Schizosaccharomyces pombe: one gene and its partner. The gene in region 1 interacts genetically with each later gene. Each region holds a gene or a part of one and is shown in the gene's direction. Other genes may lie near its edges.

The links. Genes that interact genetically often act in the same process or in processes that back each other up.
Region 2: mutations in mud1 (region 1) and nab3 together harm fitness more than expected from each alone (negative genetic interaction), as found in Schizosaccharomyces pombe (one large-scale study listed by BioGRID).

What each region holds. Positions count from the first base shown.
Region 1 is NC_003424.3:1,137,088-1,140,845, forward strand, and holds mud1 (UBA domain protein Mud1), read left to right. Parts: upstream 1-2,030; 5' UTR 2,031-2,042; coding exon 2,043-2,246; exon of another isoform or gene 2,247-2,360; coding exon 2,361-3,155; 3' UTR 3,156-3,238; downstream 3,239-3,758. Other genes in the region: dolichyl-phosphate-glucose--glycolipid alpha-glucosyltransferase Alg10, read right to left, coding at 1-644; protein ema19, read left to right, coding at 1,479-2,030; rRNA methyltransferase Rrp8, read left to right, coding at 3,534-3,758. UniProt on the Schizosaccharomyces pombe protein: Recognizes and binds polyubiquitin chains. Acts as a linker between the 19S proteasome and polyubiquitinated proteins via UBA domain interactions with ubiquitin for their subsequent degradation. Aspartic protease.
Region 2 is NC_003424.3:605,588-609,345, reverse strand, and holds the start of nab3 (poly(A)-binding protein Nab3), read left to right. Parts: upstream 1-2,134; 5' UTR 2,135-2,496; coding exon 2,497-3,758. Other genes in the region: spo20 (sec14 cytosolic factor family, phospholipid-intermembrane transfer protein Spo20/Sec14), read right to left, coding at 1-147, 196-354.

The sequences.
Region 1 (3,758 bases):
AAATTTTTAAGAAAAACCCCTAAGAATGAAATTATAGTAAGAAGAACATCAGCAAAAGTTGCTTCAGCTAAGTGGGGATTGAAGAAAGACATATTGCTAGCAAAATATGTAACTGCAATAAAGACCATCCAAACGATATTTGTCTGTCGAAACCATAGAGAAAAAAAACAAGACACAGAGCTTGAAAAAGCAGACTTTCGGAGAGCAAAGTCATAAGCAAGAAGGACGAAAAAAGTACTACCAATATCAGTGTAGTATAAAAATGAGAAAAACCATAAAGGAGGTAATGACGATAACGTATAAGCGAAATAGGTAACAACATCTCCTTTCCTATTATTCAAAAGAGAAACGATATCGTTTATAAGCCATGGCAGTCCAATTACGCCTACAAGCCAGTTTATTAACCTCAGAGATACATTGCTGCAGCCTATAAATGGGCTGAGTGCGACTGAAACCAAGTATAAACCAGGAGGTGTAGTAATCGCCGGATCCCAATCCCAATCTTTTCTACAAAAGCGTTGAGCTTGTGCAATATGGAATATTTCATCCAAGTAAGGATTAGGAACATAGTATTGTATAGCTAGAAGACCTGTAAAAGCTAGAAAAATCCATAGTATTAGAATTATAGCTTTTCCAAGAAACATTGTCTGTGTTTTGGGTCTTTAATGAAAGTTTATAATAAACGAATAAAGAAAATCAGGTTTTGATAAAGGGCGCACCTTTTACAAACAGCTTTTTATGTTCGCTTGTTTTAGACCCTATAACACAATTTCCAAAACAAACGATCAACTTTTCGAAAGGTGTGAATTAAATTTCGCTGAGGTTGTTGGCAGGAAGTTTGGAATTCAAATGCTTACAATATAGCAAGAGTGGGAGAACAATGTTTTTACATCAAATTAATTGAATTTCATGATTTTATTATTAGTTATCTAGAGAAAGATAGCATTCTAAAAACCATTCAACATTATGCACACTTAAGTACGAAATGTGACGAGTCTGTTTTTTATATTTAGGCTGCTAATTGCATCATTTTTTTTTAAAAGAACTGATAACATTGAATTTCATTTAAATTTTAATACTTGATAAATTTCATAGTAATGTGGTCTAACATTATCATGTACATGAAGGCAATTAAGCGGTAATACTAACTAATTAATGAAATCTGCCTGAGGCTTTTTAACTTAATATTGGCACACAAAATTACTCGATATACTGATTACCACCAATATGAAACTAAACAATCGTCTTCCTATTGCTTGTAAGTGTAACATCTAACGTATTGTTTTTATAAAACTATTTAGACGTAGTGCTCTAAAACAAACACGATAATACATTATTAAGTAACGTATATAGAATACGCAGAGAAGCAGTTGTTATTAAAAATACTAATAACTTTCAATGTCACCGTTTAAAATTGTAAAATTGTTTTCTATAGCAATTCAAAATCTCTGAATGAGGAATATCAATGTTTTGGGTTCATGAAAGTGGTTTCATTACGCCGCATTTATAGTAGTGAGATATACAAATTGCCAACCACACGCCTTCACATGGATACCTTGTATTACTATTATTTCGTAAGCCATCTAGCTGCAGCATTATTTGTTGATTTACCTATAACTGAATGGCTTGGAGGCTCTTTAAGCTGTCTTTCTGGTTTGCGACGCTTTTATTTATCTACATATGAAGACCCTATTCTTTTAATCCCTGCGCCTTGGAAAACTGCATTGTTTTCTTCAGAACTTTTCTTTCAAGTTCCTTTTTTTATTTGGGTTTCTCTACGCTTACGAAAGAAAGCGAGGGATCCAGTTTTATGGGTTGCAATTCTCATATACGGGGTGCATGCTTTTACTACGACATGGTGCTGCATGTTCGAGTTATTTGCTGAAAAAAAATGGATGATAATGAGTTTTTATTTTCCTTATTTGGCCATTCCTTTATGGATGGCAATTGATATGGGTGGCCGATTAGTCAAGTCGTGTCATGCTGCCAAATCAGGTCCTTCCTCTACCATAACCTCAAAGAGTGATTAAGAAAACACAAAAATGAATAATTTAACACCAGAAAATATTCGTCAAACGATTTTAGCAACTCCTTTTCTATTAAATCGAATACGCACAGAGTTTCCTCAACTAGCTGCTGTCCTTAATGATCCCAATGCGTTTGCTACTACATGGCAGTCCATTAATGCTTCTCAATTATTGCAGATTCCTTCTTCTACATATTCGATGGGAATGCCTTCATTTTCTGTACGTTTAATTTCGCATAATAGCGCCCGTATAAACTGCTGAGTCCAATAATTTAGTTTTAATGGACACAATAAATAAAGGGCTTTCGAAGGTGATTTACTAACATTTTTGTAGGAAGATGACCTCTTTGATGTTGAAGTCCAACGACGTATTGAAGAGCAGATTCGTCAAAATGCCGTGACCGAGAATATGCAATCGGCAATAGAAAACCATCCTGAAGTGTTTGGTCAAGTTTATATGCTTTTTGTAAACGTTGAGATTAACGGTCATAAGGTGAAAGCATTTGTGGATTCTGGTGCTCAAGCTACCATTTTGTCTGCTGATTGCGCTGAAAAGTGCGGTCTTACCAGGCTTCTTGACACTAGATTTCAAGGTGTCGCTAAGGGCGTAGGAATGGCTAAAATATTAGGTTGTGTTCACAGTGCACCTTTAAAGATTGGCGATTTATATCTTCCATGTCGATTTACTGTTATTGAAGGTCGGGATGTTGATATGCTACTTGGTCTTGATATGTTACGCCGTTATCAAGCTTGTATAGATTTAGAAAATAACGTTCTTCGGATTCATGGAAAAGAAATTCCTTTTCTTGGAGAATCTGAAATTCCAAAATTGCTGGCTAATGTGGAGCCATCTGCAAATGCACACGGTTTAGGTATTGAACCTGCAAGTAAGGCGAGCGCTTCTTCACCTAATCCACAAAGTGGCACTCGTCTTGGTACCAAAGAAAGCGTAGCACCCAACAATGAGGGATCTTCCAATCCCCCTTCCTTGGTAAATCCTCCCACTGACCCCGGTTTGAACTCCAAAATTGCACAGCTAGTCAGTATGGGATTTGATCCATTAGAGGCTGCGCAGGCGTTAGACGCTGCGAATGGAGATTTAGATGTAGCTGCTTCTTTTCTCCTTTAACGACTTAATTCGATTTCGGGGAGATTGGATATACATAATCAATGATTTTAGTCATGATAAAAATTAGGGAAATGATTATTTTCAAGATCGGTCCTGTTCTACTATTGTAGACGAATTCTTTCAAATTAATGTGTTTTATATCATTTTTTATGTGTTTTGTATCAGAAAGTAAAAATTCTATATATATGCGTAATTGCTTAATCAAACTGAGTTTTATATTTCAAGATTAGTTTTTTCAAGTATTTGTTATTTTAATTTTACGTTCACAAAAAATGAATGTTATTTATTTTAATACTTAGAAACTTTTATGGTTTCATTGGTTTGACGTACGTAGGATGAAGTTTTCTTACAACCAAATTTAATCTTATTCCCTACTTCATGTTTAAAGTAGATTGGGACTTAGGTCCAGTAAGTAAAAGCGCATCAGACCAAACGAAAGAATCTAGAAAAGAAAAAAAAAGAAAGAAAGGTGAGAGAAAGAATGTAGGAGATAAAGGCGAAAAGCTCAACGAAAAAGTTTTAAAAAAGGCAAAGTCGGTTACCACAAACAATTCCCTGAAAAGCGAGATTAAAAAAGAAAAATCAGTCCCTTCTATTAAAGAG
Region 2 (3,758 bases), 530 kb from region 1:
GTAATATTTGGAAACGGCTTCTTTCTCATCATAATGAAAGTTTTTGATAAGATCATCAACACCAAATTCTTTTCTCCACTTTTCGCATTTAATAAACATTTCCAGCGACTGTTGCAAATTAAATTTACGGGCTCTCAAAAAACGCAACTAAGAATCCATTAGTACAAACACAAAGTTTCCTGCTGTACAACTTACTAAAGTGGCATCGTCTAATCTTTCCGTGTATCCAAGTTTTTGTAACTCTAAACGCATGCTATCTAGCGTAGCTTGCTGTGTAGAATTCAAATGCCCTGGGTGCCCTAATGGAGCATTTGGATTAGTTAGAGGATAAGGATCCGATATAGTTTCTGACATCTTTTTGTTTAGACGATGGTTGTAGAGAGAAGACCTAATGACCCAGTCTGTACAAGATGTATAAAGGAAAAGGAAGAACGTCAGCGACCTTAATACTAGTGGTCATCAGCCGTGGGGGATCAGTCAAGCGTGGGGGCCTTTTACCTACTACCGCAGGAACCTTTGTTGCCATGCTACACCCAACGCTATTGTTATATGTGAGTATGAGGATAAACTTCAGTGTTAAAAATCAGATGAGAGGAAGAAGCTCCTCGTATGAGGTTTAAATTGTGTATAACCAATTTTTCAACTTGCATGAAAAGTGCGACAAATTTGAGATGCAGAATGGCCTTCAACGAGGCGTTGAAGGTAAATAAAACATGGGGAAAAAGTGACAATTTAACTTTGTGGAAGCATTTTTTCTTTACCAAAAAAAACGAACGATAGATAATGTTTATTTTATTTAAGCCTTTGAGTGCGCTTGTGGTGATTTTCTGTCATCAATATTTATGCACCTGACAGCTTTGAAAGAGTAAACCAGGCACTAAGAAGCGTTATAGTACATAGAGTATAGAATATGTAAATGGATGATCATATTGCGATTTTGAGATTGTTGTCTATGTAAAAACGGTATAGGAGTATCGTAGCTGGATATTTATGTGAAGTAAAACAGTTCAATTTTATGATTGTTCAGTTTTCGTATTATAAATGAGGAGTAGAAAATTGTCATAGAGTTGTGATTAAAAAAGAACTTTAAATAAGCAAATATAGTAAAGGAAAAGAAATTTTATTGCAAATGGAAAAATATTTCGTGAATAAGCAATTTAACAAAAAATACATATTGAAACGTAAATAAAGTAATACTATACGACATAAAAAATAAAATAAAATAAAATCTAAAGAATGAATAAAATAAATAATAATTAGACTAACAGCCACTTAAATATATATACAAAATTTTTTTAAAAACTAGTTTTGTCTCGCAAACGTAATTATTGTTTCCTTCTCTTTCGATCGAACTTCAGCCATAATTTTGAAAGCGTTTCTTCCACGCAAAGTTTAACAAAACATACAAGAGTGAAAGGCATTGCTTGAATGGACAGTCCATTTTGTACTTGCATAAAATTTTCAAGTTAGTATCAAATTTTCTACATGTTAGCAATAATACATTTATTTACATTGATTTTACCTTTAAAGACCTATAACAATATAAATTTTTGATTATTATATTAACGTTACGGAAGGATAGTATAATCGTCAAAATATCGTTATAATTTAACAAACGAATAAATGCAGGAAACAATGCATTACGCAAGCTTGTTACTAAAGGCAGGAAGCATAGTTTGAATATAGGATGAAAACCGTGGATATCAATGTTATAAGCATTTAACATTGAATAAGTATGGTAGAGGTGAAAAGAATCAGTACTACGTTTCTTAATTGGCAACCTTGCACCTCAAACCCAGCTGAAGTGTACTTTGCACACGAGTCTATTACTACATGGTTTTTTTATACATATTAAATAATAGCAATGGTTATTTGAACTGCAATAACGGTAACCCTACCCCGATATCTCCAAGTTTGAAAATTTACTGCTTTTATGAAAATTTAGTTTACAGTTTGTTTTGGAAACGATTATGCTATCAGTGCAGAAGCTGAAAAAAAGAAAATTTCGGGATAGTAAAATTGTTTTCATGTCATTTCCCTGGCGGTGGTTTTGAAAAGCCCGAAGTTCCATTCATTTGAGTGGCAACTTAATTTTTCATCTATTTAAAGGATGCAATTTTAGTACCACTCCGCCGTATCTTCTACCTAAGACATAAAGTTGTGAAGAAGAAAAAAAAATAAAGGTAGTTGGAAGAAAACCATCTGCATAAATTTCCTTTTAATCGCCAACTCTTTACACATTTGGTTGAGTGTGAAATTTTTACTTTTTCTGTTTCACCCTCTAGTTATTTCCATTCATTGCACCTTGTGTAAATATTTTATTTAAAAATTGGACCAGTTTATCAAATGCATAAAATTTAGTACTTTAATCTTTTAAAGCTAATTTTGTTTTTGTTACTCTGTCCTCTTAATTCTCCTTCATATTCCCTGTTAATAATAATAAATTAAAAAAATTTGATGTTTTATTTTGGTTTTACTTTTCAAGTCAATCAATAAATGTCATCCTCGTCTAAAGATTCTTCGTTCCAAGTGGAAACTCCTGTGCAGAATATTTTAGAAACCAGTACAAACTCCGAGCTTCAAGACCAGGTATCATCTCCATATGAACCAGACTACAACTCACCTGTCAAACAGGCTGCTGCTTCGATAAGTGCTTTACAAACACAAGACGACACTTTATTCAACAACGTTGATGAACGTACATTAGAAAATAAGGATGGGAATAAGTCAGATGATGCAAACTTTGATCAAGTATCCGGTATTCCTTCTGGAAGTTTGGAGATACCAATATTAAACTCAGCTACTAGCAACATTCGGTTAACTCCTTCAGATACTTATAATAATATTCCAGTTTCGGACACCAACAATGAGGAAATTTCTAAAAACATATATGGAGCTCCAATTTTAGAGTCAACTTCTTCCGACTTTCAAAGTAAGGATTCACTTTCCACTACTCAACCAAGTGTTTCGGGGGGAAACGGATCTACCTCTCAAAGTCCTCCTTCACTCGACGTTGAGCAAAATAAGCCTTTTTCGATATCCAATGAACCAGTGGAACAAGAAACTGAAAACTCTTCTACTAAAGATTTACAAGTATACGATTTTCAGACCGCTTCAGAGCATTTACCTGAACAATCCTTACAAAACACCACTTATTATGATCCGTCAAAAACTTATAGCTCGGTGAATTTTGAAGAAATTGAATATGGAAAGTCTCATGAGAAATTAGATTTACCTTATAGAACTACTGATTTTATTCCCTATTCTAAAGACTTGTCAACTAGTCCTGAGGCTCACAGGACTAGTATTTATTCGTATAGTGCTAATTTGCCCAATTATTATAATGAGCATAATGAATTACATGAACATCATAATCCCCAGACACCCAGTTCCCCGGAATCTGCGTATAGTCCTGAAAATTTGCAACTTAATCATGAAGCACAAAATGTTGAATATTTGGGTAACAATGCTGCCGAGAAATCGTTGCAAATGAACTTAGAGGATGAACAAAGATTTCAACAATTTTTGAAAGATGAAGAAAGTATAATGTCAAACTGGTATCCAGGGCAATTTCCTTCAGCTTCTCGCTTATTTTTGGGTCATCTAAATACAAAGAGCTTATCTAAACGAAATTTGTGGAAAGTTTTTAAAATTTATGGGCCTTTAGCACAGATAGTTTTAAAAGCAAATTATGGTTTCGTTCAGTTTTTTACAAACGAAGATTGTGCTAGGGCTTTAAATGCGGAACAAGGCAATTT